4 linked regions of the Rhinolophus ferrumequinum genome follow. The protein of the gene in region 4 interacts with the protein of the main gene of each other region in a pairwise test. Links are inferred from orthologs where the notes say so. Each region holds a gene or a part of one and is shown on either strand. Other genes may lie near its edges.

Evidence for each region.
Region 1: the proteins of TOLLIP (region 4) and ODAM interact in a two-hybrid assay, tested with the Homo sapiens proteins (2 studies listed by BioGRID and IntAct). The two-hybrid records come from large-scale screens. The link is inferred for Rhinolophus ferrumequinum from reciprocal best matches to the Homo sapiens genes TOLLIP and ODAM.
Region 2: the proteins of TOLLIP (region 4) and TOM1L2 interact in binary tests that used the Homo sapiens proteins (3 or more experiments, as listed by UniProt). The link is inferred for Rhinolophus ferrumequinum from reciprocal best matches to the Homo sapiens genes TOLLIP and TOM1L2.
Region 3: the proteins of TOLLIP (region 4) and TOM1L1 interact in binary tests that used the Homo sapiens proteins (3 or more experiments, as listed by UniProt). The link is inferred for Rhinolophus ferrumequinum from reciprocal best matches to the Homo sapiens genes TOLLIP and TOM1L1.

Annotation. Positions count from the first base shown.
Region 1 is NC_046288.1:28,148,258-28,156,167, forward strand, and holds the start of ODAM (odontogenic ameloblast-associated protein), read left to right. Parts: upstream 1-4,897; 5' UTR 4,898-4,936; intron 4,937-5,725; exon of another isoform or gene 5,726-5,788; intron 5,789-7,910. UniProt on the Homo sapiens protein: Tooth-associated epithelia protein that probably plays a role in odontogenesis, the complex process that results in the initiation and generation of the tooth. May be incorporated in the enamel matrix at the end of mineralization process.
Region 2 is NC_046304.1:850,385-857,944, reverse strand, and holds the start of TOM1L2 (TOM1-like protein 2), read right to left. Parts: upstream 3,005-7,560; 5' UTR 2,881-3,004; coding exon 2,829-2,880; intron 1-2,828. UniProt on the Homo sapiens protein: Acts as a MYO6/Myosin VI adapter protein that targets myosin VI to endocytic structures. May also play a role in recruiting clathrin to endosomes. May regulate growth factor-induced mitogenic signaling.
Region 3 is NC_046304.1:30,011,055-30,018,076, forward strand, and holds the start of TOM1L1 (TOM1-like protein 1), read right to left. Parts: upstream 3,017-7,022; 5' UTR 2,876-3,016; coding exon 2,818-2,875; intron 257-2,817; exon of another isoform or gene 35-256; intron 1-34. UniProt on the Homo sapiens protein: Probable adapter protein involved in signaling pathways. Interacts with the SH2 and SH3 domains of various signaling proteins when it is phosphorylated. May promote FYN activation, possibly by disrupting intramolecular SH3-dependent interactions.
Region 4 is NC_046294.1:836,196-843,370, forward strand, and holds the start of TOLLIP (toll-interacting protein), read right to left. Parts: upstream 3,013-7,175; 5' UTR 2,875-3,012; coding exon 2,842-2,874; intron 1-2,841. UniProt on the Homo sapiens protein: Component of the signaling pathway of IL-1 and Toll-like receptors. Inhibits cell activation by microbial products. Recruits IRAK1 to the IL-1 receptor complex. Inhibits IRAK1 phosphorylation and kinase activity.

The sequences.
Region 1 (7,910 bases), on a different chromosome or scaffold from region 4:
CTGTAGCTAATGGAAGTCTAGACCCTCTTCCTTCATGCAGATAAACCAGGAAATAAAAGTCCTTGCTTTGTTTCCAAACATTTGTTGGGAGACATTTCCATTAGGAAATGCAAGATGAAGGTGTGAAATGATTGTGACAGGTTAAAATTTACTGAGCTCTAAAAGCAAGAGTTATGAGAAAACAACCTGGAACTTGAAGGCATTACAAATTATACCATGTGAAGAATAGATGCAGAAAGTAGGAGACTTAATCTGTAAAAGAAAAGTATTGCTAAGGGAACATGATTGCTGGTTGCACATATCTGAAAGATCTCTACATCTTCATGGGAAGATGCATTACATTTTTCATGTAACAAATCCTTACCAGGACATGTTGACTCAATATGTGGGAAGAGTTTAACAATTAGGACAGTCTTAAAATAAAATGGCTTGGCTTAGAAGAAGTTCTTCATCCTTGGCATGACTCAAGTACAATCAAAGGTAATGTCGAGAGAAGAATCAGGCTCTGATCAAATAGTTGGACTAAATTAATGATAACCAGATGGATGTTTAAAAAATGAGATATTTGCCAGTAAACAATAGACAACAATGCTTCATACTCTATTTTATACATAGTGGTTCTTGTCAATAGTTCACTGAAAAATAAAATGAATAATCATCCAAAAGTAAAGTTTGAAAAAATACCTATATAGATATCATTTGATACCTATAAACTTCCAGATAGTATTGGCAGTATTTTTGAGATAATTGTAGTGTCATGAAGGAACTCGATCACTGTCTCATCAGCTGTAACTTTTTTCTTTTGTACACTCAAGTGGATCCATTATATCCTAAATGTCCCCACCACATCATTCAATTATCCATATCTTTACTCATATCCATACCGCTCTTAATAAACATAGGAGTAAATTTTGGAGATTAGTTGAATTGTATGATAGCTTTAAAACATTTCTGTTTTTCAGAAGGAGTATGATGGCACTTTGTGTAAAAGATTTCCAGTTAAAGAAAGTTAGATGTAGCTTGCATGACCTGGCCTGTTGCTAGCTTCCAATGCTTACATCAAACTTAAGAAGATCTACTATGAGTCCCAATTTCTCATACACTTGCTATGATGTGCAAAATCCCATTATTAGAACTTCATTTGTGTTAAGACATTTGTTGGGTACCGGTCTCAACTTATCATTGACCATAATGTTGTGGCTGAACTGGCCTTTGTGATTCTTAGTATGGTGGCAAGAGGCCCTCCGCCATAACCATAATGAAACTTTGAAAAAAAGAGGTTTATCATGTAGAAGTCCTGGAAATTACATGGCACAGCAGGGGTCACACAGCAAGGTCCCTGGGGGAAAGGAAGGGGGAGTGAGGGAGAGAGAGAGAAAGAGAGAGATAAAGAGAAAGAGAAAGAGAGAGAGAGAGAGAGAGAGAGAGAGAGAGAGAGAGAGAGAGAGACCGACCTAGGGTTCTGCTTTTATTAGGGTCCAGGGTGGGGGCCTAGGGTTTCATGGGCTCAGTATTATTAAATTTTGAAAATAAGAATAGGAATTTAAAGTGCAAGAAGAGAAAAAAACAAGCAGCTCAATTGGTCAGTTATGAAATCTCTAAAACAAAGGAATTGGGGGGTGGTTGCCTGCCTTTTTATGTAGTCATGTGGCTGGTAATGTGTTTGTTTGAGATAGCCATCTTTGAAATGGATGCCTTGGCAATCAAAGTATAAGTCAGGCATTTATATTATTACAAAAAAAGAGAGAAAACCCAATTATCAGGGATTATGTTACAATATTTCTCTATAGATTTCCTGTTAAAGGCCAACTAGCCCTTAAGAGATAACACATTATCCCATTGCCAGCCATTAGTACCTTCTCAGGTTCACTTGAGCTCAACAAACTACTGAACATTTGCTTGAGTCCAGGCATGCTGTTAGAAAATTGGGAAACAAAGATGAATCCACTGCCATAACTGCCGCCAAGGAATACCTGTGTAATTTGTTAACAAGTTTATTTATTTTTATTGCTTAGAATCAGAAATAATAGAGAGTATTACTTAATAGGCTGGGTTGTCCTTAGACAGTACTACTTAATAGGCGGAGTTCTAGACACAGAAAGATTGAATCCTAGGTCTTAGTCCTGGCTGGAACAACTATTAGCTTCATGACATTAGGCATTTAACTCAACCTCTCTAAGACAGACTTTCACATTCTGCAAAACAGACATAATAATATCAATCTATGGAAAGACACAATATATACAAAGCACTTGCTACTCATGTACGTAAGCTACTCTTACTGTTGCCCAGTTGCTTTATATTTAAATCATCCAGTAGCAGAGCCTGACACACAGAAGTTACATTAAAAATGTTTGGTAAATGAACAAATATTTAATAAAAATAGGTTACTTGCATTCAACAGTATATAGCTGCCAAGTATCACAAAGTATTCTCCCTAATATCAAGAATAGGCATTTTGATAGCTGTTAAATATTAGCCAATCTCACCATCAACCCTGCATGTGTGAACAACTTAAATACCTTTTTAAAAAAAACTGTTTTAAGTCCCACAGAAAATTTTAATGTAATTGATGGGTTGGGTCTGCATAGCAGCATTTTGCATATTCCCTAGATGATTCTAAAGGGCACACAGGGTTGGGTGCACTGACCTTTATATCATGGAAAAACAAGACATGAAACATTTATTTAATTACTGCCTAGAAAAACAATTTCATTCATTTATGCACATAAAGTTATATCCTCCAAATTCTATGAAAGACCATTTACTCAAAAATAAGCATGTACATTTTTTGAAAGTTTTAAAAAAAGGAGCCTATCTATGGCCAAATGTTGATAAATTGAAAAGGATTACAGGCATTTTAAAGGACACTCTGAAAAAATGATCTACATTTCAGTAGCCTGAGAATATAGATTATACACAGTATATAATGAGGAATTGAACAGGGCCCATTGTGCAAGCATTAAGAATTTTTTGATCGGGAAAGGATGCAATTAAAGTATTATTTTTGTAATAATAATATAGAGACAATGTGTGTTCTGTATTAGAAAGAGAAAAGCCTGAAACAAGGAACTGGTTAGAAAGTCTTGGTTACTAACAATACAAATTAAAAAAAAAAAAAAAAAACCGTGGGGAAAAAAGACATTTAGAAAAAAATTAAATAAGATTTCATGACTAATTAGATAAGACAGACCAAGAGTGGAAAAGAAGAAAAGAGGAATTCAGTGTTTCTAGATCTTTTTTACCAAACGAAAGTGGAAAGAAAATAGGCAAATTATAAGAAGACAACCAATTATTGTTTGTTATGTGGAGTTTTGGTTTCTTTTATTAAGAGGGAAAAAATAAATAAAGAAGACAATTTGGTTATGTCAGTTTTGAAATGCTAAATGTGACAGAAGACCATCCAATTAGAAATGTCAGGTAGACAAAGAAGCAGAACAAAACATTATGTGAGTATTGAAAACTGGAGATAAAGCTATGACAGATTTTCAAGTATATATTGAGCATTCCTCCTGGGCTCGATCATTTTACAGTTGACAGTTGAATTCCTGGAAGTAAAGTCTAGAAAAGTTGAAAAACAATAACAAAAATATCTGTTTTGAATGTCATTTTACATAATAAGACAATCAAAAGTTTTACTTAATCAACTATTCATCAGATGATGATTGAACATATGCTACCCATCAAATATATAATATACAGAGACTAAAAAGGTATCACCTCTAAGAGTTTATTGCGTAGTTTTAGACAGTAGGAAATCATAACATAAGCTGATATACAAAAAAATGGCAGGACTATATGTGCTAGTATTATAGCTATAGAAATGTTTAGGGCAGATTGGAGAGAGAAAATAAACTCATAGTAGAAGTGACACAATGGTGGGGGAGGAACTACAGTAAAATTAGGTGAAAGTCTTCCTGTAGGTATCTGAATGGTGCCTGATAGCAAAGCACAGAGGAAAGACTGTGAGTGGTAGGTCATAATTGTGGCTAAAATCATCATTATGGAAAGGAGTTGACTCACTCTGACAAACGCAACAGAAAAGCAGAATGATGCACATGAAGGGATTCAAATATAATATCTGCAAATCCATCTCTTTTCAATTGATTTGAGTTCTCATAGGTACAAAGGAATTTTCACATTAAAAGTTCTTTGTATTATCTAATTTCAATTTCTGCAGCCTCACTCTAAGCTTTATTTCTATCACAAATTCCTCCTGAAGAAACAAAACAAAGCCTCCAATGGCTACTCTAGAAAAATCTTAAAACCAGCTTTCAGACTTGAAGCCCTGAAAGTCTGAAAGAGAGTGATATGGGGAAGAGGTACAAACCACCACTTAAACTTTGTGTGATATAATTTTAAATATTTATGGTACTCAGTAGTCCTATTTTATGAAGACCAAATGATCTCAGTCCTTCATACAAGCTCTGACAATTAAGTTCACGAACTTGTTGCAACGTCGTTGCTAACCTTTTTTGATATCAGAGGGATTAGTCATTATGAATTTGTACCAACAGGATGGTTAACAAAGTTTACTACTTGGAAATGATGAAAAGGCTACGTGACAAAGTTAGACAACCTGAACTTTTAGCCAACAATTCATGGCTCTTGCATCACGACAATGCACCAGCTCACACGGCACTGTTTGTGAGGGAGTTTTGAGCCAGTAAAGAAATAACTGTATTGGAACTCCCTCCCTACTCACCTGATCTGACCCCCAATGACTTCTTTCTTTACCCGAAGGTAAAGGAAATATTGAAAGGAAGACGTTTTGATGATATTCAGGACATCAAGGGTAATACGAAGACAGCTCTGATGGCCATTCCAGAAAAAGAGTTCCAAAATTGCTTTGAAGGATTGACTAGGTGCTGGCGTCGGTGCATAGCTTCCCAAGGGGAGTACTTCAAAGGTGACCACAGTGATATTCAGCAATGAGGTATGTAGCATTTTTGTAGGATGAGTTCACGAACTTAATTGTCCGACGTATGCAGAAATCAATTTCCCAGACATTGAATTATCTCAATTGTTTCCCTGAGATTACCTACAGACCCTCCAGACATCTCAAATTACAAATCTAGACACAGTAATATGAATACTTAGCATATATTTGTCTAATTTAGAATGACATTTTGCTTATCCCTGGAGAGCTATTCTTTAACTGCAGGAATCTGAGGAGTCAAGAAAATGACAATACACAAAGGACAATTTTTAATGATACCACCTTCAGGCATAATTATAAAATGGGCAAATATCTTCAGTGCCCCCAGACTCATAAACTTGTTCCTCTTTACCCCAATATATGGTCATTCTCTTCCTATTCTATTCTTAGCTAAAACTCGTCTCTCAAAGATACCTTAATATAAGTCAGCTTTTCCAGCTACTTCTCCTGTCTGAGGGTAACCTGCACTTCCATTTCTAACCTTCCGAGATTCTAAGTCCTCAGCACTTATTCAGTAGGTAAATGTTTAAGCATTTAAACAGAGCTGAAAACTCTAAAAAAGCCTGCATTTGAATGGAGTTCAAAAAATTCTAATAAAAATCAAATTGCACTGTTTGGGGTAGAGTTCTGGCATCAGTGAGCGGGTGATAAGCAGAACTCGGATTAAAAAAAAAAATCTGGCCCTTGAAATTGCCAAACCACATAAACAACTGACAAGAATACTGTTTAATCATGCCTTTAAGTGTGTACACAGGTGACTGGCCTCTGGTCTTTCCATTTAAACTTTAGAGAACCAAATATCATCATTGTCCACGAGACACTTTGAACAAGCCACTGGCTTAATTGGGGGTGAGTTCAGTTCTATTGACATTTCCTTGTGCCTTTGTTTCCTTTGGCTTTTCTCTGGCTGGCAAACAACGTGTCTCTGTTCTTGTCTGTAAATGTCTTTATTGATTTCTGTCATCATATTTATTTTCCTTGTACTAAACTTTAATTCCTGGTATATATGCTTCAGGTGACTTTGTCCTTTATTGCCATAAATGACCTTAGTCTATGCCCTTCTAAGTGGAATTCTTACAGAAGCTGAATATACCTCCTAATGTTGACATGGGGCTTGAGGGATTAATTTGTAAGCTTCTGAGCTGGCACTGAATTTCTTCTAGCATTTAGCATCCTGAAAGCTTGCCACATTAAAAAACATCATCGGTAGGTTTTAACTGATTCTCAATGCAGAGATACCACTATGTTGCCTTGCTTTCATATGGTCCTATGTATTGGCATTACTAAATAAATAGTAAGAACCAAACAAATGGCACCTGTACATCACACATTTGATCTCATAATTAGGTTTCAACAGTTATAGCGCTGTTCTGACAGAAGCAATTTGAATACTTTTATTTTTACACCTCCATATTTTACTTACAAAGTACCAGGTATGCATCCACATTTATGATTACCAGTGAGCACCATAACCACAAATCCATCCATTTAATTTGTCCCTTAGCCCTAGTATCTGTAGCCTTTCAGTTATTTGGAATGTCTTTTGTATGGCATGGATCCAGTGTGTTTCGAAAATTTTTAACGTAGCATGGTAAATTACAGTTTATATTTTCTATTAGCAAAAAAGAATTACACTAAAGGAAAAACAAAACACTAAAAAAATATATATCTGATGAAGAGAGCGCCCCCATGTGGTGATGCACAAGCTGATCCTGCATGTGTTGGTAACCGCCTAACCTTTATGGCTGACAGGCAGTTTTATCATGTCATGGGACCCATCATGTGCCACTGAAGGGGTTACCAATTGATTTAACCTTAAAATCTATCTTAGGGCAACATCCTAAGAAACTACATACAATCAGTTGTGACTGTCACTTAAGATAAAATTTTAGCTCCCGTAGTTAACTACAGACTAATTTAGGTAAAACACCCAAAGGTAATCAGATTCACCGGGAACTGGTAAGACTCATGTGTTCAAGTCTCTGACTTTGTATTACATTAATCTTTACATTTTACTAATTCTATGTTAACAATTTTCCAAAAACAAGCAGGATAGGAAGAAACACTTAATCTTTCAACAATACCACATCACCAACAATATATTTTCTCTCTCTTGCTCACGTAAACACACACACACACTCACACACACACACACACACACTCATACACACATCGTGCTTGAGCATTATTTCATTTAGAGATCTCTTGGCCTGTTACCTGTAGCTTATTCTTATCAAGACAATCTAATGATATTTATTCTATCATCACCCCATTTATACACAGAGTCATACAGTTTGTAATGTTGACTGGTTCTATACATAGCTCATGGACACTGAGGATATATATATATATATATATATATTTGTGAATGGGAAATATATATATATATATTTGTGAATGGGAACCCTCAAGTAGTTGGTGATGTTTCAAGAGTGAAATTGTAATTAGAAATCATAAAGAACCGATAGCATCAAGGCTATCATTAGATCAGAGGAGCTCAAAAAATGTGCTGATACATCAATGACAGTTACAGGACTTGAAATTCAAAGGAAGGCTGTGACTGGACACTGAACTGATTACCTGTTATGAAAATTGAGTGCTAGGTGTTGAAATGAATTAAGTGGAAATATTTGCAACGTTAATAATAATGATGGTTACAACTTCTATTTAATGAGTATCCATTATATATCAGACTACAATAAAGTACTTCCTAGAATGTGTCTTAATTCTCACAATAGCCCACAAAGCAGATATTACAAGTCTTATTTTACAGATCAGAAAATGAGGGCTTGGAAAGTTTAGGTAGCTCACTTGAAGTCACATAGGAAATACATCACAAAGCTAGAATGGTGTTATGCCAATGCAGTTTACTGTCTCCCACTGGAAAACAATATGGATGGAAAAATTTTAGAAAAAAGCATTAGTAGCATTATGGGAAAAATACATTTGAGTCATCTGCATTTTAATAAGA
Region 2 (7,560 bases), on a different chromosome or scaffold from region 4:
AAGCTGAAGTTAGCTGAAGAATATGGTCTTTGATGTCACCCACCCAGGGCTTCATACCCTACTTGCCACTGTTCCCCGCAATCACTTCTGTCCACTCCGAGTCGTGCCTCCATGTGCTCACACTCCCCTCCCTGCCTCGTTCACCTGTCCCCAGGCACAGGGTCTGCTCCTCTGTGTCTGGAATTCCCACCCATCGTCATGACCAGCCCTCAGACTCAAAGACACCTGCCCTATCACCCAGCCCTTCTGAGTCCTTTTTCGACTCCTCCCAGCACCAACAAGTCCTGAGCACCTAACTAACCACGGTGCAGCCCTCTGTTAGTGCAATGTAGCGCTGTCCTCTCTCCTGCTGCCGGAAATCCCTTGAGCACCAGGACAGCTATGAAATTCCAGCTCTCTCTCTTACCAGCTGAGCAGTCACGTCACTCCTCTGAGCCTCAGTTTCCTCATTTCTAATGTGGGAAGACAATAAAATGTCTTCCCAGAGCAGCTGCAATGAGCAAAGAACGGCTGTAGAATTGCTTTGTGTAAACCATAGTCGCTGCTTTTAATCATTAGCTTTGTTGTTTCATTTCTGTATTCCCCTCCCTCCCATCAACCCCCTGGCACATACTTCTAAAAAACGTACTAACATTGCTAAGTGTCATGAAAATCACTTTTACACTTTGTCACAACAGTACAGAATATACATTAGAACTGAACTGAACTGTGAAATCTCCTAGGCCTTGCCAGTTGACTAACTGGCAATGAGGAGGCTCCATTCTCTTTATGGTCGTGTCGTGGACACTGGGGCCTAGGAGGGTACTTTGCTTCACAGGACGCAGACAGGCCAGTTGTCCCACGTATCCTCTCCAGATAGAAAATTCGATCCTAACTTAATTATTCTGTTATTAACAGCAACAGCTACAATTTATCGAGCTTCTACTATGTTAAGTATTTTATATCCATCATCTCACTTAAATCTCACTACTCTATGAGTACAAACCAATCTCTCTCTCTCTCTCTCTCTCTCTCTCTCTCAGCAAACTAAGGCTCAGAAGCATTACACAATTTTCTGGGATCCCACAGCCAACACATGCGCAAGGCAAAATTCAAAGGCCAGGACTTCCTAGCAGAAGCATCACGCGCTATGCTCTCACTACACACCCCTACATCCCTTATATTTATGTATTTTTAAGTCCCCTTTAACTTCTATCCTTCATCAACTACCTTGGCATTTCAAAGGTGTAGAGCTTCCTATTGTAAAGGATATAGAAAAGAAGGGGAAAAAATCCTCCCCATGCTTACTGGCTTCCTCCAATAGCAGGTTGGAATTCAACATCCAACTGAGAAATGAGTTTTAGGAATATGGCTGTAGTGAAAGAGCACCCGAGCAAAAGAAGTGAGAAAAAAAGATGGGTGAGACTCTAGAGAGACACAGTAGTTTGTGAAGGTGGGAAAAGACTCTCTCAGCACCCAGTGTCTGTCTACTCAAAGATCTTATAATAGAAAGAAAAGAAAGGTTCCCAAATACCAGTTAGCCAACAGGAGAGGTCTCAATAATTTCACAGGCCCCATTAAAGGCTGCAAAGTAAGCTGAAAGTTCTTAACTAGAGCAGGAAATAAACAAATCATTACTGCCTAAACCAGCCAGGCCCATAGGGACTCCAAAGGTCCCTGCTCATAAAAGACGTTCTACCAGTCCTTCCACCAACCAGGACCAACCCCGTTTTAAAAGAAACTCATCAACATTCTGGACTGATCACTTGGCGTAAGCTCCTGCCATGGGTGAAGAGGCAAGTTGCCATTTTAGTGCGGAAATCCCATATGGTGGCCACTCTGGTGTTCCTTCACCTGGCCTTGGGCTTTCCTTACCCAAGATACTGGTCACTTCTGCTGCCGTTTTCCAGGTGCCCTGACCCCCTCTATAGGATTAACAGGTACTGCCGAGTACCCCTTTCTCTACACTGCCACCAAAAGATTTCAGCTTTGGTGATTTCACACAGCAGGAAAGCCACAGTCATGAGTAGAGACTATTACCAGGAATACAAAACTTTAGAATTCGGAGGAACCTACTTCTATACCTCACCTCCAAACACCTCATTTGACAGACAGGGAAAGTGTCAAACCAGAAAGGGCAGTGACTCGCACAAGGTCATAGGGAGAGTCACTGGCGAAGCCCCTACTGGAGGCCCAGGCTTCCTGATTCCCTGTCCAGCGCTCTTATCCTTGAATAACATGGCCTCCCTTGTCCCCCAAGGCAGGGCAGGCACGCCATTCCCCCCGCGCGCCCCCCGCCCCCGCCAGGATCATCACCCTCTAGAAACCCCGCCCCCATCCCGGTCCCTCCCACAACCTAGCCGAGTTGCAGCTCTAATTAGCAAATCTTCCAGCAGGGAGCCTCCCCTGGGAGGGTGCCCAGTCCGAGCGCTACTAGTACTGAAACGGAGGGCCAAGGATGGAGGGAGAAAGGTCTGGAGGAACTGGTCCTGACGGCAGTGGCAGCGAGTTGAATAAGGGCGCACGCAGTGGCATTTCCCAGGAGGCGAGATGGTAGCCGACTAGCCAGCCGCTGGCACCACCTCTAAAGAGCCAGGAGGGGTTGGGCCCTGAGGGGTAAGGACGCGCGGAGCATCTCCGACTCCAAGTTGGGCCTTCGGGCGCTGCCTGGCAGGATGGCACCGGCTTCGTGAGCAGGCCCAGCCCTTCCGTGGGCAGAGGCCCGACGACAAGGATGCCCAGCCCGCCCGTGAGGTGGCACCGGTGCCCCGCAGAGGCCCGTGGTCTTCACCAGCCCCATCAGCCGCCGCCGTCGCCCACCCAGACGCCCGCCCTTCGCATCGCCTTACCGAGGCACTGCCCCACCGGGGTGCTGAACGGGTTCCCCAGGAGGAACTCCATCTTGGGCTGTGGACAACACGGCAGCGGCCCGGGAACCCTGTCAGCCGCCGGGGTCTCCGCTGTCCCCGGTTGCGCTCGCGACCTGACTGACACTCAACCCCCGGCCCCACCCTCAGGAACGCCGAACGCCCGGCCTCTGGCCCCGCCCCCTGTCGCGTCTCTATTGGGCAACGTTTGCCCAATCCACCTCCGATTGGTCCCTACACCTCCCCAGCGAAGCTCCACCTACCCCACGGCGTCCGATTGGGCGGAGGAGCGAGCTAGGTCGAAGGAATCTCCGTCAGGCGTAGCGGCACCTCCCTTGGCCCGCCTCCGAACGAGAGTCTGTGTATTTTGATTCATCTACATATTGGTCCCTCTAGAATCCCTACTATTATTGGAAAACAGATGCGTCAATCACTCAAGCAGGAGGCGGGAGAAAAGGCGGGGCTAGGAATATCCCCGCCCACAGAAAGTGTTGATTGGAGAAACATTTGTTTTCTCTCCTGCTGGTTGGTAGTAGGAGTATTGGCACACCCGGAAATGTTGTCACGTGACCCAACTTTCACCCAGGATGTCTACCTTTTAACTTCCCCTTAGCAACGAGTGGCGGCTCTTGGTTCCCCTAGCAACCGTTCAAAGCGTCTGCTGCGCGGAACCAGCCCGGTAACCTGCTCTTGAAAAGGTGAGACCCAGGAGCTGAAGCAAGGGCAGACAGCGCCCCGACTTAACTCTTTTCTCTGACTTTTCTCCGAGGAGTCCGACCCCGCCCTTCTCATCTGTAAAATGAACCCACAGGTCTTCTGCTAGTCACTTCGTAGCCTCGCTAAGACAATCAAAACACTGGTCCTGGGCTTTCAGGCATGTGGATGAGAAAGAAATGCTAAGGAAGCATTTCTTCAGTGGGCAGGACTCGAAGAGATTTTTATTGGGTTCCATCCCCCAGGCTTCTGGCCTGATCCCTTTCATAGAAAGAAAGGTACCCGAAAGAAAGGTCCACTGATAACTTCTTCAAGAATTTAACCCTTATATCCGACTTCTTAACTGTCATTAGATTATTTCTCTTATTTTTATTCTTCATCTGCGTCTCATTTAAAGTGCTTTGGTTGGGAATATGGATACCTGAGTTCCATGTCTGTCTTGTCAGTTGCTTGTCGCATGACTTTGGACAATTTCCTTCCTCTCCTGGGTCTCAGTTTTCCTATCTGGGAAATTAGGGCATTAGGATTCTCCTGTCTAGGATTATGTGGCTTCCAGAGCTGATGCACTTACCATGTTTCCCCAAAAATGAGACCTAGCCGGGCCATCAGCTCTAATGCGTCTTTTGGAGCAAAAATTAATATAAGACCTGGTCTTATATAATATGATATAATATAAGAGCAGATATAATATATTCTAGATATAATATATTCTATTCTATAGAATAGAATAGAATAGAATAGAATACTAGGTCTTATATTAAGTTTTGCTCCAAACGACGCAAGAGCTGATTGTCTGGCTAGGTCTTATTTTCGGGGAAACACGTTAGTACACAGTAAACACTCAACAAACCACAGGGGCCAATTGGTTTTCTTCTCCGCAATTCATGGCCAGTAGGGGCTATATTTTTCAGATCCAGTTGATTCCAGATTGTTTCTTTCCAGGACAATTCTGGATCTGTTTCTCCGTGAGAAGGCTACTGCACGGACCGTGGTGCATTCCCCACCTCCTATCTGTGGTCTTCACCAGCTGAACTGTCATCAGGCAAGTCAACAGGAACTCAGGGTGGGTGGTAAATTACTGACAAAAATCCCCCTCGGGAAGGATTTTCAGACCTTGGCCCTGACCCAGAACAGCTATGAGAAACATCGTGAGCTGTGACAGTGGTCTGTAGTGCCCTGGGTACAGCTAAGGCATGATTGAGAAAATGGCTCTGGAGTCATGTTCCCCTTCTCTGCCATATGCTAGATGTGTAAACTTGGGCATGTTACCTAACCGTTCTAACTGGATTCCACTTTCTTATCCGAAAGCTGTGGATGACTAGTCCTGCATATACATTAAGTTCCTAGAGATCCACATCTTACCACCACCCTGGTCATCTCTCATCTCATGACTCTTGCCATTCTCAGTAGTACAGACAGAATGAGTTTCTTAAAATTAAAATCTGATCGTCAGTTCCCTTATTAAGCTCCAGGAACTTCCCAGGAATCCTAGGATAATAAGACAACTTCTGTAGTCCTCTCCAACCTTGCATCACTTCAGCCAAAGTGAAACATGTCTTGTTCTCTCCCACCTCAGGGCCTTCATTGCGCAGTTTGCTCTCCCTTCTTTCCTACTCGCCCTTCAGATCTCAGCCCTGTTGCCCCTGGCCAGGCCAGGTGCCCCTTATGTGTGCTGTCACAGTTCCCTACACTTACAAACTTGCCATGGTTTGTAATTAAATACTTGTATGATTATCTGGTTCATGTCTGAAAGAGAGGTAAGGAGATCTGTCTGCTGGAGTCACAACATGTAGTAGCTATTCATTACGTATGTGGACTAAATAAATGATCTTAAACAAATGTAGGAGGGAGGAATGGTTCATCTTTTATGGATGGGAAATCCAAGACTTAGACAGGGGAGGTGAGTTGCCAAAGGATGCACAGTCAGGATCAAATCCTGCTCTTGTGTGCACAACAGCTGTTCCACGTTGCAGCGATTGTGGGCTAGACTGAAAGCAAGCTTGATCTGCCAGAGGTGCCAGGCCATGATGATCTGGGAGGGATGAGAAGTCAGTTAACTGAATTTTGAAATAAAAACTAAAAATCATTTCCCAAAATATAGCACCTTTCTCTGAAAAAGCACAAATACTTTGCAGGTAACATCTGCCACATATAGCACATTAAAATCCCCTAAAGGCAACATGATGTCAAATTATGGGAAATCTTAGAAAAATTTGTTTCAGAAGAGCGGGGAGATGTAGAGAGGCAAGGACTTGAAACATCTTGGCGGGGGAAGGTGCGTGCTGGACCAATCACCCTAAGGAGATGGAGCCATGTTGACAGATTGTTGAGAATGGGAAGGTGGAAGGTGCAGGTGGAGATGGGACATGGGGTGGGGTTGTAGGGATCAGGTAGTAGGCTTAGGGGAGGCTGTGCCCCCTCTGGGGGTAGAAGGAAATGTGCGTGAGCTCTAAAAGCACAGGGACATTTGATCATGAGCACTCCAGAAATTAAAGATGCATATTTGCATAAGCTGCATTCACGTGGACGGTGGGGGAGGCGGGAGGGAGGCAGCTGGGTAGTGGCAGGCGCTAAGACCAGGTGCTGTCAGGCAGGGTCTCTGGTCCTGCTCCCTGCACAAGAACACAGGATATGGTGAGGCCAAAAAGGAACACCCATGGAGCTATAGATAGGGGAGTCATACCACTATATTCTCGATGGTGGCTGGTCGAGACACAAAAGCAAACATCCGCCTGTACCCCAACAAGGGGTCCTCCTGCACCCCAGTCTCGCTGGCGGCCGGGCGAGATACAGGAAGTAGGATCCACATGATCCGCAATCCACCGTCCACTTCTCTGCCAACCAGCCAACTAACAAGAATAGCCACAGCAGTTATATCAGTGGCCAATGGCTAACTGGTTACAGCTGACGGCCAACTAGTCATAGCTGATGACCATCTGCTACCCGAGCCGGCACCTGTCCACGTGAGGCCGAGAGCCTGGAAACTGCTCTCTGGGACTCTGTCCACACAGGTGGCAAGATTGTGGTGGACACCATCAGCCACCGGGAGTCTCTCCAAGAAGCACTTAGTGGTTAACGGACAGAGTGCAGGGGCTGCCCAGCCTCAGGACTAGCAGGGCAGAGAGGACAGGAGGTTCAGGGAGGCCTGGATATGGGGGACACGTGCAGACAAAGGTGGAAGGTGAAGCCAGCGGGAAGGGGAGAAGCAAGGGTGGAAAGTAGAAGGGAGGACTGAGTTTCCAGAGGGTTCTGGAGGCAGAATCTGGAAGCTATCTGTAAGCTGACAGGAGAGTGCCTTCCTGTAGGGCCAGCCCTTCTGGATGTTCTTGCTAGGTGGGTTGGTGATGAGAGCGAGGGTGGGCACCCTGAGTCCCCAGGGCTGTGGCTCTGTCCAGCCAGGAACAGCGTCCCAGTGCCAGCCTCAAAGTAGAACTAACCAAATCCACAGCTGTCGCCTCTGCCTGCAGTACCTCAGCCAAGTCCCTTTGACCGTTAGCAACAGAAACCTGCTGGAATTAGTTTAAGTAAAGGAGGATTTAATGCAAGAAGTCAGGAAACTCTCCCAGAAAGGGCCACAGAAACCCTCACAAAGCCTGAAGTTAGGGACACTAGGGGCTGAAAAGCCAGCAAGAAGAAGGGAGCCTCTGTTTGTATCAGTCTGTCTATCCTTTGGTCTTCTGTTCCTGAATCACCCAGGTTCCCATCTCTGCTTCTCTCTGTCCATCTGCCTCATCCCCCTCTGACTCTCTCTGCTCAACCACGTGCCTGACCAGCCCACGGTCCCCCAGTTCCTCTCCATCTCAAGCGGCCAGCTCTGATGGGTATTCTCATCCTGCGGCCCCAAGCTCACATTTCTCAGGGGGAGCACATGAATAACCAACTTGAATTGGTATCCACCTACACACTGAGCAGCGTGTGGGGTGGGGTGGGGTGGGGTGGGGGGAGGACAGACATGATTGCCTGGAACGGAGGAAGAGTAGCTGCAGCCTGTTTGCCTGGC
Region 3 (7,022 bases), on a different chromosome or scaffold from region 4:
AGTTTGCTAGCAAGTACCATTAAGTTTATATTACCAAAGGGCAAGAGATTTTTTTTCTCTGAGCAATCCTCAGTAATTCAGGAATCAATCAGAACCCAAGTTCACAGTTCTGTTGTAGCGACAGTAATGAGTGACCTATTAATAAAAACTGCAGGCACAACACCTGGCTGCAAGGCTAGGACATGGGGGACAGGTTGACTAAAGCTCCATCTGCCTGCCTGCTTTTCAGAGACAGACGGATACATATTGACTAGCCACCCAGAAGGTGAAGTGCACAGTGCTAAGTATTTTATCTTATGTAATTTCATTTAACCTGCTGTTGGAGATAATGGAACAGAAGTTCAGACATGATAAGGAAAGTATGCAAGGCTACATAACCAGTACAAGGTCCAACTAGCATTCAAATCTAAGTTGTTTCATGCCAGTTTTAGAATTTATTTATTTTTATTTATTTATTTTTTTATTAGTTTCAGGTGCACAAAACAAAGTTAGACGTTTATCATTTATACCCCTCAAAGTGTTAAACCCCCTCCCCCATCCACTATCCCTCTGACATTGCACACAGCCATTATATTTCCACTGTCTCTATTCCTAATGCTGTACTCTGCTTTTTGTAAATATACATATATATATATATATAAACTTGTAGTTGACATTCATTATTGTTCAGCTTCAGCTTCAGGTGTACAGTGCAGTAATTAGGCATCCACATCTTCCCTGAGGTGGTCTCCCTAACGAGACAAGTGTCCATCGGATACCCTACAACATCTTTACAACATTATTGATTACATTTTAAAATCATTTATTCTCCTGGGGGAGGCAGGTGCTGAGAAAAAAAGAGATCAGAACTCCTGAAACCGTGTCCTTTAGCAGTTGAGCAAGGTCACCCTCAGCACCTGTACAAACCAAAGCTGGCTGCACCAGGCAGCTCCTGTACCTACAACGCCATCATTTAACAATCAGGTATTTTTCCTTCTCCAGACATCCTCCTTGAGAATACAAAATGCTATCTGGGAAGGGTAGCAGAACACTCAACCTGAATGAGCTTAACATTTTTCCCACAAGAAGATTCCTCCGCATGAAAATACCAGGTCCTAGGGGGAATGAAAAGAACATTAAAAAGGATAACGGAGAATATAGGTTTGGTTGGGGACACTGCTTCCCATCTAGAAAAAAGAACTATTTGAATTCGGCATTCAATGGACAAAGCTAACCAAACCTGTGTCGTTTAGGTATGTACTAGTATTATTCCTTCTGCCAGAGCCCTTGCTCTTCATTCCATGCATTTCCTCCCACCTTCCCATCTTCCTAGTAAACTCCTATTCACCCTTCAAAAGCCTTGGCAGTTAATTTCTCCCTTTGCACAAGTTTTGGGTGTTTCACATTTGTCTTGCATTGTAAAGGGACTGTACTACAGTTACTACAAAATTGTGTCCATCTTCCCTACAAGTTTGCACGTTCCCTGAGGGTTGAGACCAGGTGTGACCTTTGCTTCATCCAGCTCCAGGCATATAGCTAGCAGTCAGTAAATGTTTGCAACATTAAAGAATTAATCATGGGGCGGATTAATCATGGGGCCACCGATTGACTCAGTTGGTTACAGCGCAGTGCTCACAGCATCAATGTTGCTGATTGGATTCCCACGTGGGCCAGTGAGCTGTGCCCTCCACAACTAGACTGAAAAAAAAAAACAAAACAAAATGACTTGACTTGGAGCTGATGGGTCCTGGAAAAACACACTGTTCCTCAGTATTCCCCAATAAAAATTAAAAAAAAAAAAGACTTAATCAGCCTGTGAAGATGCAGTTTGAATCCATTTCTGCTCAGGGTTCATTTTAATACCCAATGGGGATAGAGACAGCAACGGTTTAGAAAGCATTTCCTCCTCAATGAGTTATTCTCCCTTTCATAAAAGACGTGGGAACTAAGGTTCAGGGTAAGGGGTATGTTCCATGTCACACAGCAGATAACTGGGCTGTAGCCCAAACGCTTCGAATCTGAGCCTCCTCACCATACCAGGTTCTCGGAATTTCCTCACCCCACTAAGTTCCTGACATTATCATGCTTTGCGTGGCATCAATATGCACTGATGCCACCCCAGGTTCCCAAAGGGGGCATCAAGGACAACAAAAAAGGACGGAGCTGGCGCTGGTAAACGTCACGGGCTTCTGCATTAGGTATTCAGAGTACAGCCACAGGAGAATGAGCTAAGCAGGTACCTGCGTGGTCCCTAGTGTTTTGAGAGGCCTCTGGTGACCCCAAATGGCTCCTCTTCTTCCCCTTCCTGTATATGCATTCTCTTTGTTTACCCAGAAAAAGTAACTCAGGTCGTGAGGGCCGGGCGCCAGAGAGAACCGGTTTGAAGTGTCCTGCCTCTCACCGTGAGGTCACATCACTTAACCTCCTTGACCCTTCTTTTCCTTCTCAGTACATCGGACATAACAGTAACGTGCTCTCCAGTGAGGGCACTTTACTTATAACCTTACCCTGGCCAAGAACTATGCCCTCCCCTTGCAGAAGCCCAAACACTCCACACCTGAATCCCATGCGTGGCTCACCTGTTCGGTTCCACTGCCCATGAGGCATTAAAAGGGAAGTAGATTTTGAGGAGGGCGATAGTAGAAAGGGTCAGCCATAAAGAAATGTCTCAAAGGGGCCGGGTGGAATGCGGATGCCTTAGGAAAGTTGCAGGGGGAGGGGAAGGATTTCCTCCAACTTGGACCAACTCCGTCCGTCTCAGGCCGACAAGGGAGTCAAATGGGAAGGGTACCCCGATGTCCAAAGCCTGCCCAGGAGTCTTCCCCCGCGCCTCTTTACCTATGAGGAGGCCCACGGAGGTTGCATAAGGATCCCGGTGACTCTTCCCAAACGCCATGGTAGCCCCAGAGATTCGGGCCCAGGAAATCCGCCTCCACCGCTCTCGGGCTCCCGACTCCACCCGCTCGGTGTCCCTGGCTCCTCCTCTTCGCCCGAGCTCTTCCCGACCTCCCGGCGGAGGCTGCGCGTCTTGCCCGGCCGCTGCGGGGCGCCCGGCACCTGGAGTAGGGCGCCAGGCGCGGGGGCCGCGGGGCGGGGCTCCGGGACCCCAGCGCACCTGCTGCGCTCCCGACTCCAGGTGCGATGAGCGAGCGGCGGCCCCCTGGTGGAGCCCGCGGGAGGGGCGCAGGGAGCGAGCTCGGGACCCAGGTGGACTTCTCGCCCGGGCGGAGCTAGGGGCCCCGGAACCACAGCCTGGGAATTAGAGATCTCAGCTCTGATTCCGCCGCCTACTGGGCAAATTGCTGCTTTTCTCTGCGCCTGTTGTTCCCCATTGTAGAGAAAGAAATATGGTATTAATAACACAGATCTCAGGATTATTGTGAGAATTAGGGACGTAAACCGCTTAGGTCCGTGTCTGGCACCCACAAAATAAATATTTAACCACTGAATGAATCGAGTAACTAGAAATATTTACTTCCACCCCCACCTTTGCGGGGAGATCCGGGAGGGGAGGTGTGCTCCTTGCCCTTTAAAGCTGCAGGTGATGGATGGGCAGAGGGAATGTATTTGGATTTGGGGGGGGGCCCTCTCAGGAGCCGGCGTCCTTTGCCGCTCTCCTGTTCCTGAGGGACCACATGGCGCCGCTAAGTATTGGATCCCCTGTGCCTCCTGATCTTGCTTCCTGCTGTCAACTTGGGCCTGGTTCCACCGCCCTTCTTTGGCCTTGGAAATGATGACGAGAGATCAAAGAGGATTGGTCTGACTTATGTCCTGAGTCTTACATATTTTAGAATAGAAGTCAAAACCAATTGCCATGCATGTCAAGGGGCTAAGCGACTTTTTTTTTCTCTAATTCTGTCATTTTTAATTTTTCTCGACCTAAGTGACTTGAGAGTCTAAAACCTAGAATGAACTATTTTTGTTGTGATGTTATTTCTCATAATAGGGTTGGTCCTACCTGTAACTATTCTCTCCGCCTGCTATTCCAGGGTGAGTAGCTCTTTCAGAAGGTGCCATTTATCAACTTCCTTGGTCATGACGACAGCCTCTGCTGACATTGTTGAAAACCTCTTTGTGACATCATCAACCTAATCTCTATTCCACGTCATAGACTCTAGCAAAATATTTTGTCTTCGCTGAAGCCCATCAATCAAGCAACGTTAAAGAGAAAGTCAATTTGAGCGTTTTTTTAGGGCTGCTGGTTGGTGTCCGTGGACTTTCATCAGCGAATAAGAATTACGAAGGAACCAATCATCCAGAAAGACTTGTAACAAACTGATACTTCTGATGTGAGAGGTTGTTTTGGCTTTTATTTTCTGGTGTTCTGGGATTGAGGCACTGAGAACAGGAGAAAGGACACCCGGGAGCGTAGTTAGGACCTTATGGCTGGGTAAACAGAACCAGGTTAAAGAGTACTATCTGTGTTCTATCTCAGCTATGCCTGAGGAGAAGCTTTTCTCTCCCCAGGTTCCCGCAAGGGTGTTGTGGTGGCCACAGCCTTCACTGTCCATGCTCTGCCACTTTCTCCACGATTCCCTTACTCCCCATGGGTGAAAAGCAACTCAGTCAATGTTAATCTGGTCTGACAATGGGACAGTAGAATTCATAGCCAAGTTAAGAGGACAGAAGGGACAGACTTCCAGAAAGAAACAAGGGTTCAATTTCTGGATACCAGGAGCAAAATTTCACCACAATTTCAATTCCAAGAACACTTACTAAGCGTTTATTTATATGTAAGTCATAATGCTAGTTGGAAGCAAAGAAAAGAACCTTCATTTAAAATACACTAAGTGCCGGAAGTGGAAATCTAAATGTAGTCGTCACAATCCTGGAGGCAGGTAGCATTCACCTCATTTTTGCAAATATGTAATCTGAGATTAAGAAAAATAAAGCTTATAAATAGTTTGGATAGAGTTTGAATCATGGCTGCCTAATACTGAAGTCTCTATTATTGCCAGTAGGTGAATCTACTCAGTGAGCATGACATCTCATTGTTTAAAAAGATCTGTTTGATTCAAAGTGAGACTGCCTGAAGAAGATAGGAATAGGGGCAGACAGATATGTTGCTGGGACAGGGTTCTGCTATTCCTTTTGTACTTGTTCAAGAATGCTAATATTTTCTGTTCTAGAACTATATGCTAGGTATGTTCTAAATACACTACATGCAGTGTCTCCTTTAATCCTGTAATAACTCTATGAAACTAGTTTTACAGATTAGAAAATCCAAAGAAAGTCTGACTCCAGAAACTGTGACTTTACCCTTTATAATATGCAACTCTCATGGGTAGAGCCCTTGACTAGTTCACTCTTTTCAATAAATGGGTTCTAGGTCATGTACCTGAAAACGAGGCGACTGAACAAGGCAAGTACCCGTCTGCAGGACAAAGTTGACCCATCCTCAGGCTTGACACAGTGAAGACTCTTTTTCATTCTCTCATTTAACTCTGTTCTTACCACTAAATTTCTTAGACTGTCAGATCTGGATATGACCTTAGAAATCATAGTCTCTATCCCCTTCATCTTATAGATGAAACAAATGACAGCCAAAGAAGGGAAGTGACTAGCCCAAGGCCTTCCAGCTCCAGGCTAGAAGGATGCAACCCAGTGGCTTAACCCTAAGTCCCAAACTTTTACCACTACAGGCATCTCCTCTCTTTTTTAATATTTCAGTGTGCTCCCCCAACTTTCCCCACAGTATTTCCTCTAGCCCTCTCCTTATCCTTTACTTTTTCCGTTGGTTCCAGTTCCAAATGCCACCCACTTTGTACCCCAGCTGCCCCATTATTAATTTTCATAGTGATATGATCATCACATCTATCAGTCATTCCTCAGCCTTATTTATTTTCCCTTTCTGTAGTATGTGATGTCGCTCCTATGAGCCATTCTTGCCTCCGTCACTTTTCTATCCTATATTATGACTACCCTATACCCTATTTTCTGACTGCTACTTCTCATGATCTTCACCTGGCTTAATTTTACTCCCTAGCCTGCTAAACCTAAGTAAGCCACCCCACGGGTCCACAGTCTAACTTTTCCTCTTTTTCCATTTTCCTCAGGGACCTGCCTGTTGGCCCTTCTTTATGACACCTCTTCTGAAGACTCCCAAGAGAACTGAGCCCTCCTCTCTTGTCCTCCATATAGATTTCTTTCTTAGAACTCACAACGCATTATTCTACTTCTTTGTTTAGCAATCTGTTTGCTGCCTCCTAGATAGAAGCCTCTCAAGGAAATAGGACCCTATTCGTTAGACTTGGTATCCAGGCACTTAACAGGCCGTAAGGGATGCTTATTGAATGCATGCATGGCTCTCCAAAATCTTGAGCTCCAGTTCTTAATTCCCTCCTGGATGCCCTGTTGGAACCTTGACCTCGACATAGCTACACTTACTATACTCATCTCCTTCCTCTATGATCTCAATATCCTACCTGACTTGTTTTGGTGGGCGTGATTATTGATATATTGGAATCACAGGGGATGCTGTAAAGACTACTGATGCTTCAGTCCCACCCTCAGAGATTCTGATTTAATGAGCCTGGGATGCACCAAGGGCATCAAGATCTTTAAAGGTCTTTGAACGGGCTAATGGTACCACAATTTCCCAAATAAAAAATTTTGAAGTTATACCCAACTCTTTCCTTCCAGTCAGTTCCGGATTCCTCTGTGTTCTTTATCTCTCTCCTTCCTCTATGGACAGTGCTCAATCCATCAGTTCTTAAATGGCATAAGCCTTAATACTGTTTAGGGATGAAATTGGACTGAAGCTTGGATTTTCCCAAACAACCAAGACCCTGTGCATCTAAAGACATATTATTTATCTTTAAAATTGACCCTCTTTTATACAATGATTTTGCCCATTATTTTTTAAAACCATTATGTGCAAAGACAAATGTTGACTTTATTTCCACTTATTTTTTAATATATTAAATCTTGGCAACTCCTGATTCTGGAAATGAACTTCAAAGCTCAGCCTTCCCTGTCTTCCTGCTCTTGGGATCACCTCTATCAGCTTCACGTGAAAGGGCTTCTCTCCCCAACCTGCACCC
Region 4 (7,175 bases):
TAGAAAAGGGTTGTCATTAGAAAACTACGAGCATTGTTAAAAAGTGGGGCAAACAGCACAGGGCTGGGCCATCCTCAGACTATTAAGGGAAAACGTGACCCTGGAGATACAAACAGCACGTCTGCTGAACCTTAGGCAGAGAAGCCCATCAGCTGCTGCGGGGAGAAAGCAGGACAGAAGGCGTGAGGCCGGCTCAGCGTGGGCGGCACCTTTTCTCACACGCCATCTCACCCACCCCTCAGGCGCCCCACGGGCAGCAAGCATGGACAAGGGCCACCTCAGCCTCCCTCCCTGGTGACTCCCCTTTCTCACTCACAGTCCCACGGACTCTGCCTGTCACTCCTTTATCGCGGGAGCAGGAGTGGGAGGCAAGGTCAGGCTTCCGAGCCAGCCCCAGTGAGTGAGTCCAGGCTCTGGGCAGCCTGTGCCAGGGCTGACCCCATCCTGTTCAGGCAGGGACACGGCCCTAGGGCACAGGGCTCCCTCAGGACTGCTGCCCAGCCAGGACCCAGGGCAGTGAGCACAGCCAAATGCTACCTTTACCAGCACCAGCTGGTACTGCAGCTTCTTGACCCGTCTACCTGCACGGCACCCAGCATACAGGGACGCAGGGCCCAGACAGGATGGAGTCCATGCACCCTGGCTACCAGGGAGGTCTCCGCGAGGATGCGTGCCAGGCAAAAATGTTGTTAAAAAAAGTAACACTGTAGTGAGCAGATAAAACTCCAGAGCAAACCCATCTGCCAGCCCAGGCCTCCCATGTGGAACAGCGCCCGGCCCCGCCTGTCCCTCTCTCACAGTGGCACAGGCCCTGCCCTCAGGACCCTTCTTGGCCTTCCGCAGCCCGCCACACCCCACCTCGTCTAACAAGTCCTGCTCATTCCTGTCTCAGGTCCCTCCAAGAACTTTACCCACCCCAACTCCCGGCCCAGGACCGGCCACTGTTTATACCTAAGTTAAGACCCACAGAGCTGACGGCGACCATCCCCGCCGCGCTCGTCTGCCTGCTTATGCGTGCCAGTGGTTCCCCATGCCACACTGTAAGACCCCCCACCCCCTCCCTGGCAGGCACTGCACCTGCTCGTCCCAAATGTCATGATCAGCAACACTGGCTGAGTAAGTCACGTGTATTCCAGGGGCACTCAAGACCCTTGCCCCTGAGGACACCTTCCTGGAGGCCCCCAGCAGCCGGGCCCAGATCTAACGTTACTGTGTTTACAGGCCATGGAGAGCACCCCGAAAACATCTGCAGGTCTATGTGCGCTGCACACCAACACATGGACATAAGGCCACTCGCCTGTTACAGAGAACAGGCCGGGAAGCACGGTACACATGGCAAGAGGGACAGAACCTCTGACGGCCCAGGCCCCACGTGCGGGACGGGAACGCCCGACCCCGCAGCTGCTGTCCCGTGGTGCCAGCTGCCCCAGCTCTGTGCAGTCCCCGCGCCGACCGCTGCTCCGCACAGGGGGGCCGACCCTTACTGAGAGCGCACTTCTGGCCACTGCGCCCCGCACCGCACGTTCACACTCACCACCAGCGAGGTCCGCACCAGGTGGGTGAGGACACGGGACAGGTCAGGCCCCCTGCGCCCACTGCTCCCTGGGGGACGCGGAGAAGGGAGCGGCTCGTTTGGTTCCCTTGCTTCTCTGACCAGCCGGCTGTGCAGCAATGAGAACCGGCTGGCTGTCAGCCCGCCGTAAGTCACTGTGGAGGGAGGACGGGGAGAGGGGAACCGTCCCTCTGCTCAAAGGCAGAGGGAATCCGGAAACCTCTCTGCCGCCTGGGGGCCGGTTCCAGAGAAACCCGGTGTGTGTGTCACGTCCAACGCAAAGCCCTCAGGACTTCTAACAGAACCTGGGTCTTCGTCACTCAGAAAAGATACTCTCTGGAAAAGATTCTCCTCTAGTCAGGACAACCGCCACCAGCGTTTGTCAACATCCCGTCCTAGGGCCGAGGGGCAGGCGCGGGCGACTGGGCTTTACAGGCAGAGCGACTGAGTGAGGGCAACGGTGGCATCACGGGACAACGTTCCCCACGTAAAGGGAACGTCTGTCTACTGCACATTTTGAGCCGCTGCCCATAAAAACTTCCCGGCGCGTGACAACGCGCCCCCACCCCGCCTGCCAGAGCTGCGCGCGGCCCCGTCCCAGGGCGCGTCTACACCGGCTCTCCAGGGCAGCGCGCGGGCCGTGGAGACCGACGGGAGCCCCGGAGACAGCGCGGGTGGGAAGGGCCGCCCGCGGTCCTGAGCTCCCGTCCTCTCGTTTGCAAAGGAAGGAACTGAGGCTGCGATAAGTGGCCACTTAGGGACACAGCTGGGCCCGGGGGCCTCCCTCTGCCCCCGCGAGGGAGGGGAAGCGGGCGGAGTCCGTGGCTCGGGGCCTCCTCCGTGGGGGACGGTCTAGGCCCGGGGCGGGGGCGCTCTCCATTTGGGGAACCGGCCCCGGCGAGGGTCCGTCCCCATCCGGGGACCCGCCCCTGGCGCAGGAGCCTCCTCCATCCGGGACCCACCAGGGCGCGGGGGCCGCTTCCATCCGGGGTACCGACTAGGACTTCGGGAGACTCCTGTGCCGGGGAGGCCACAGGGCGCAGGAGACGCCTCCGTTCGGCGGACCGGCCCTGGCGGGGCGTCCTCCACCCGAGGGACCTTCCGGGCCTGGGGGCTTCCTCCCTCCCGGGGGCCCACCCTGGTGAGGGCCTCCTGCACCGGGGGGCCGCACCCCGGAGCCCGGAGCCCGTGGTCGGGCCTCCCCGAGAGCCCCGGAGGCCACGGACGCGCACCGCCGCCCGCGCCCTGAGGGGAGAGCCCGCCCGCCCGCCGTCCGCCCGGGGTCTCACCGGCCCGCGCTGCGTGCTGACGGTGGTCGCCATGGTGCTGCGCCGGCCCGCGCCTCGCCCAACGAGAGCTGACGTGCCGGCGACCCTCCGCCGGAGCCTGCGACGCCGACGGTTGTCCCCAGCGAGGCCGCCGCCGCCGCCGCCACAGTCAGCTGACGGCCACCCCGCCCCGCGCCGCGCACTGCGCAGGCGCCGCGCAGCCCCGCCCCTTCCGGCGCCGCGCACGCACGCACGCGCCGTGCCGGCGGACGCCTGCGCAGTTGCTCCCCGCCGCGGCCGCCCGAAATGGCTCCGGAGTGCGCGGTGGGCATCCTAGGCGGTCCCGCGGCAGGTGCGCAGGCTGAGCGGCCCCCCGACCGCACGGACTGTGGGGTCTGCTGAGCGGGTCTCCTGGCGGCGCCGGGAAGCCTCAGTGGCCCTCCCCACCCTGGGCCTTCGGCTGGACCCGGGCGCAGGGACAGTAAACGCAACCAGCCCCAAATGAGCCTGTCCTGGTGCTAACAAGACACTGAGTTGCCTTTCAGGGACAGGAGACCAAACCGCAAGACGTGCCACCCAGGCGTGGGCAGAGGAGAGACCTTTGACCTCCAGCTGCACCCCGACAGATCTGAGTGGGACCTCCGGTGTCCTGCGAGCCGACTGAGCGTTCAGTCACTGCTCTTTCTCTTCGCAAAAGCCAGTGCCATGGTAGCGGCCCCTGTGTGAGTCGGGCAGCAAAGCTGTTACGTAACAACAGGGGGGCCTTACCCGGGAGTCATCAGGGAGGAGGGCCTGCTGCTGGGAGGGGGGGCCTGGGGGCGCCAGTGACCCTCCCTCCACCGAGGGCCTCTGGTCACGATGACAGACCACTGAGCGGGGCCAGGGGCAGCGCCAGGCTCTTGGAGGAGATTCTGTACCTTGGTATCAACGAGCAGAGAAGGAGGGTCCCGATACCAGCCACGGATGGACAGCCTCCTGCCAATGTGCAAGCCTCCCCGGTGAGGGGGATTGTGGATTGAGGGGCCAGAGAACGAAAGCCCTTGATTGACCCAAAATCCTCCGGGGGGAGGAGCACTTGCATGTATACTTTGTAAAAGTGGGAGTCAAGCTAAAGGAGAGGTGACTGTGGGCTGCCGTGCTTCACAGGCCTCGGGAAGATGGGTGTTCAGGGCAGGAGAAACAAGGCCCCGTGCACGACCTTATCTTCATGGGTGATGTCGTCTAAGTCTTTAGTGAAGCAAGGACTGAAGCGTTACCTACCAATGCCCCTTGTTAGGGGAAATGACCGAAAAAACAGAAGCTATGTCTGCAGCTTCTCCATCTTCTGTACTTGTGATGAGGCCCAGGTTGACGATCGTAGCTTCCTTCTTCCACCACTCGTTCCAGGTTCCCCTCCGTAGAGACTTATTTTCCATCAGAGAAGGAAGTGCAAAAGGCCTGCCTTCTGCTGGTCCTTCTGTTTTGTTGAACATAAGCAGTTTCACAAAACATCAGAGCAGTCGGGGCCACTGTGACCACAGTGCATCAATACAAAGCCATGATGGCTCCTTGGTCATGTGTGAACACAGACGACATGACAGCCTCCACGCCAAAAGACTAACATCTCCTTTCCTGGCTGGTATGGCTGTTGCTGCTTACCAACTCCAGCTTGAGCCTTCCCCTAGTCTTCCCTCCTAGGTAAGAATGAAGAAGGCTACCCCTGCTTCTGACAGCACCTGATCCAGAGCAGAACCCTGCTTGCTCAAAGCTCCCCCATAATCACTGACAGAAGCCCAGATCCTTTCTAATGCCCTCTGACACGTCACCCTGTGCTTCCCTGCGGTGTGTGCTGTCCTTTGCTGCAATGAGTGACAGTCCCACCCTGTTGAGTTACAGGTGTGTTCCCGGTGGTCTGACGGGACAGCATTGACACACCCAAGGCTTGAATTGTCCTTTTCCTCTGTGTCCACTTCCCAGAGTCTTCTGAAGTAAACAGCCCACGGCACAATCTGTGTCATCACCATTTTGCCAAAGCAGCTCAGTGTCTCAGCCTCTTGACCTCCCATCTGTCCGCCCTCCACATGCGCCACGTCCCAGGCCACCGCTGGAGATCATTTGAGGGATTGGGATACCACTGCATGACACAGATCCCCAGGGCTCGACTTCCCTCTGGCAAGGATTTTATCCACATGCTCATCAAATATATAAGCAACCCAATTCTAGAATCCTATTAGGAGAGTCGGTTTCTGGGGACACTTATGGTGGCAATTACTGTATCAGTCAGGGTCCCAGCAAGAAACAGATGGCATGCTCAGAAAGATAATTGGAGGAATTTTAATAAACGGACTGTTTATAAGGGAAGGGCAGAGTTAAGTGAACAAGCAAGACACTGAAGCGTGGAGGAAATTTGAGCTTCAGGAAGCCACTACCACTCCTGGTCTTAAAAGGACAGAGAGGCAGCAGTAGCCAGGAAAAGGCATCCTGGGCTGACGTGTGGGCCATGCAGAGGGAGGAGGCCACCTGCCAAACCGCAGGCTTGCAGGTGGGGTCTGAGGAAGAGGCATTCCGACCTGTCTCCTCCTACAGTGTCTCCCCTGAACACAGCCCAGTGGTGCAGCCTGTAGACGTCAGCTCCTCGGGGCACAGAGAGAGGCAGAGAAAGGTGGAGCGTGGACCTGGGAGGGAGGGCAAATGGAGACACTTCTGCACATGCATCTAGTTACCAGCAATAACCAAAGGATTCAGTTTTGTAAAATACCATTGAAAAGAGCAACGAAAGAATAGAAGGGACACAAAACTTCTTAAAAAGTGAGCAAAAGTGTTAACGTTATAAAACGTTATTGAAGGAGACCTGAATAAAATGAGAACTACATACCGTATTCATGGACAGGACGTCTCAGATCTGTCACTTCTCCCCCAAATTGTCCTACAGAAGAAATTTTCATTAAAACTCCAAAAGGGTTTTTCGAAGAAATTTAACAAGCTGATTCTGAAATGAATGCGAAAGAACAAAACAATAACTGACACATTCTAGAAGGAGGAGGAGGAGATGGAAAGGAACTGTCGTAGGAGAAATAAAAATGTCTTATGAGACTACAGTAATTGAGACTGATACTGACATGGGGATAGACAAATTTACCAGTGAGATGAAATACAGATACTTGATTTATGAGGGTGCTGGCACTGCCGAGCAGTTGGGACAGGAATTACTTTCAATCAATGGGCTAAAACAATTGGCTACACTTACAGAAAAACTTAAATCAGACCCCTACCTTAACACCAAACAAAAAAGCAATTTCTGATGGAATTGATCCAATCAATACTTGATGAATTCAATAATCTATGCCATGTTTGGAAAGGATACAGCCAAGAAAAGCTGTCACCGCCCTCTCTGATCTGTTGAGAAGCACTGAGCAGGAGTTGAGGAGTTGGGAGGTAACAGGTATGATGACGAGAGCCGCTCGGTGAGCCAAGCGCAGGATAAAGGTGTTCTACATACCAGGGCGACCTGACACTCGGGGCACTGACCAAATATCCCTGAGAAAGGCAGAGGGAGCTGGTGAGAAAATGGGAGTTAGGTGGGCCAGAGAAGGGGGTTTCAAACCTAGAGTGGGCGTTGGGGCCACCGCAAGGTGTAACAATGAGCCGACACCACGGAGCTTTGAGGACGAACCGTATGGCCACAGAGCTGGGCAGAGAAGACACGTTTGGCAGGAGAATTAAAGAAGAAACAATGCTGGAGGCCAGGGGTCCAGCCCAGTGTATTTCTGCTGAGAGTCGACTATAAAGGGAACCCTAACTTCAACACTGGTTCCTCCAACTCATTGCCTACATTCTCTGAGACCCGGTGCCAACATTCAGACACCCAACCCTGTGTGTCACCTGAGTGATGTCACCACTTGTGCAGTCATCACCGAGTCCAGTCCATTTCCACGTTGTTATGGGAGTCCCACTGCCCTCACCCTTCCTGTGTCTGGGCTCCAGCTCATAATGGCACAGGCCAGTGGTCACGGAGCACCCTACGCACCCAGAGCCCTGGATGGGCATTCTGTGCACCTGTTACTTGGGGTCCTTGAATAATAGTTGACATGAGCCACATGTCTGAGTGCTTCATCTTGCCGGGTGTCATTGTAAGTGCTTTACACATACTGTGTCATTTAAGTCACACTACTATCCAATGGCAGCCGAGCTTCTGTTGCCTACGTTAGAGACGGAGGTAACAGAGGGGAAGGGTGAAACACTTACCACGTCTAACACCAGGTAATCGGTACCCACGACATAAACGCTTCCCACAAGTCACGAGGAAAGAGGAAACCAGACAGACGAGTGAACAGATGTTTAAGTTGGCGATTCAAACAGGGAAGCCCAAAGTTTGA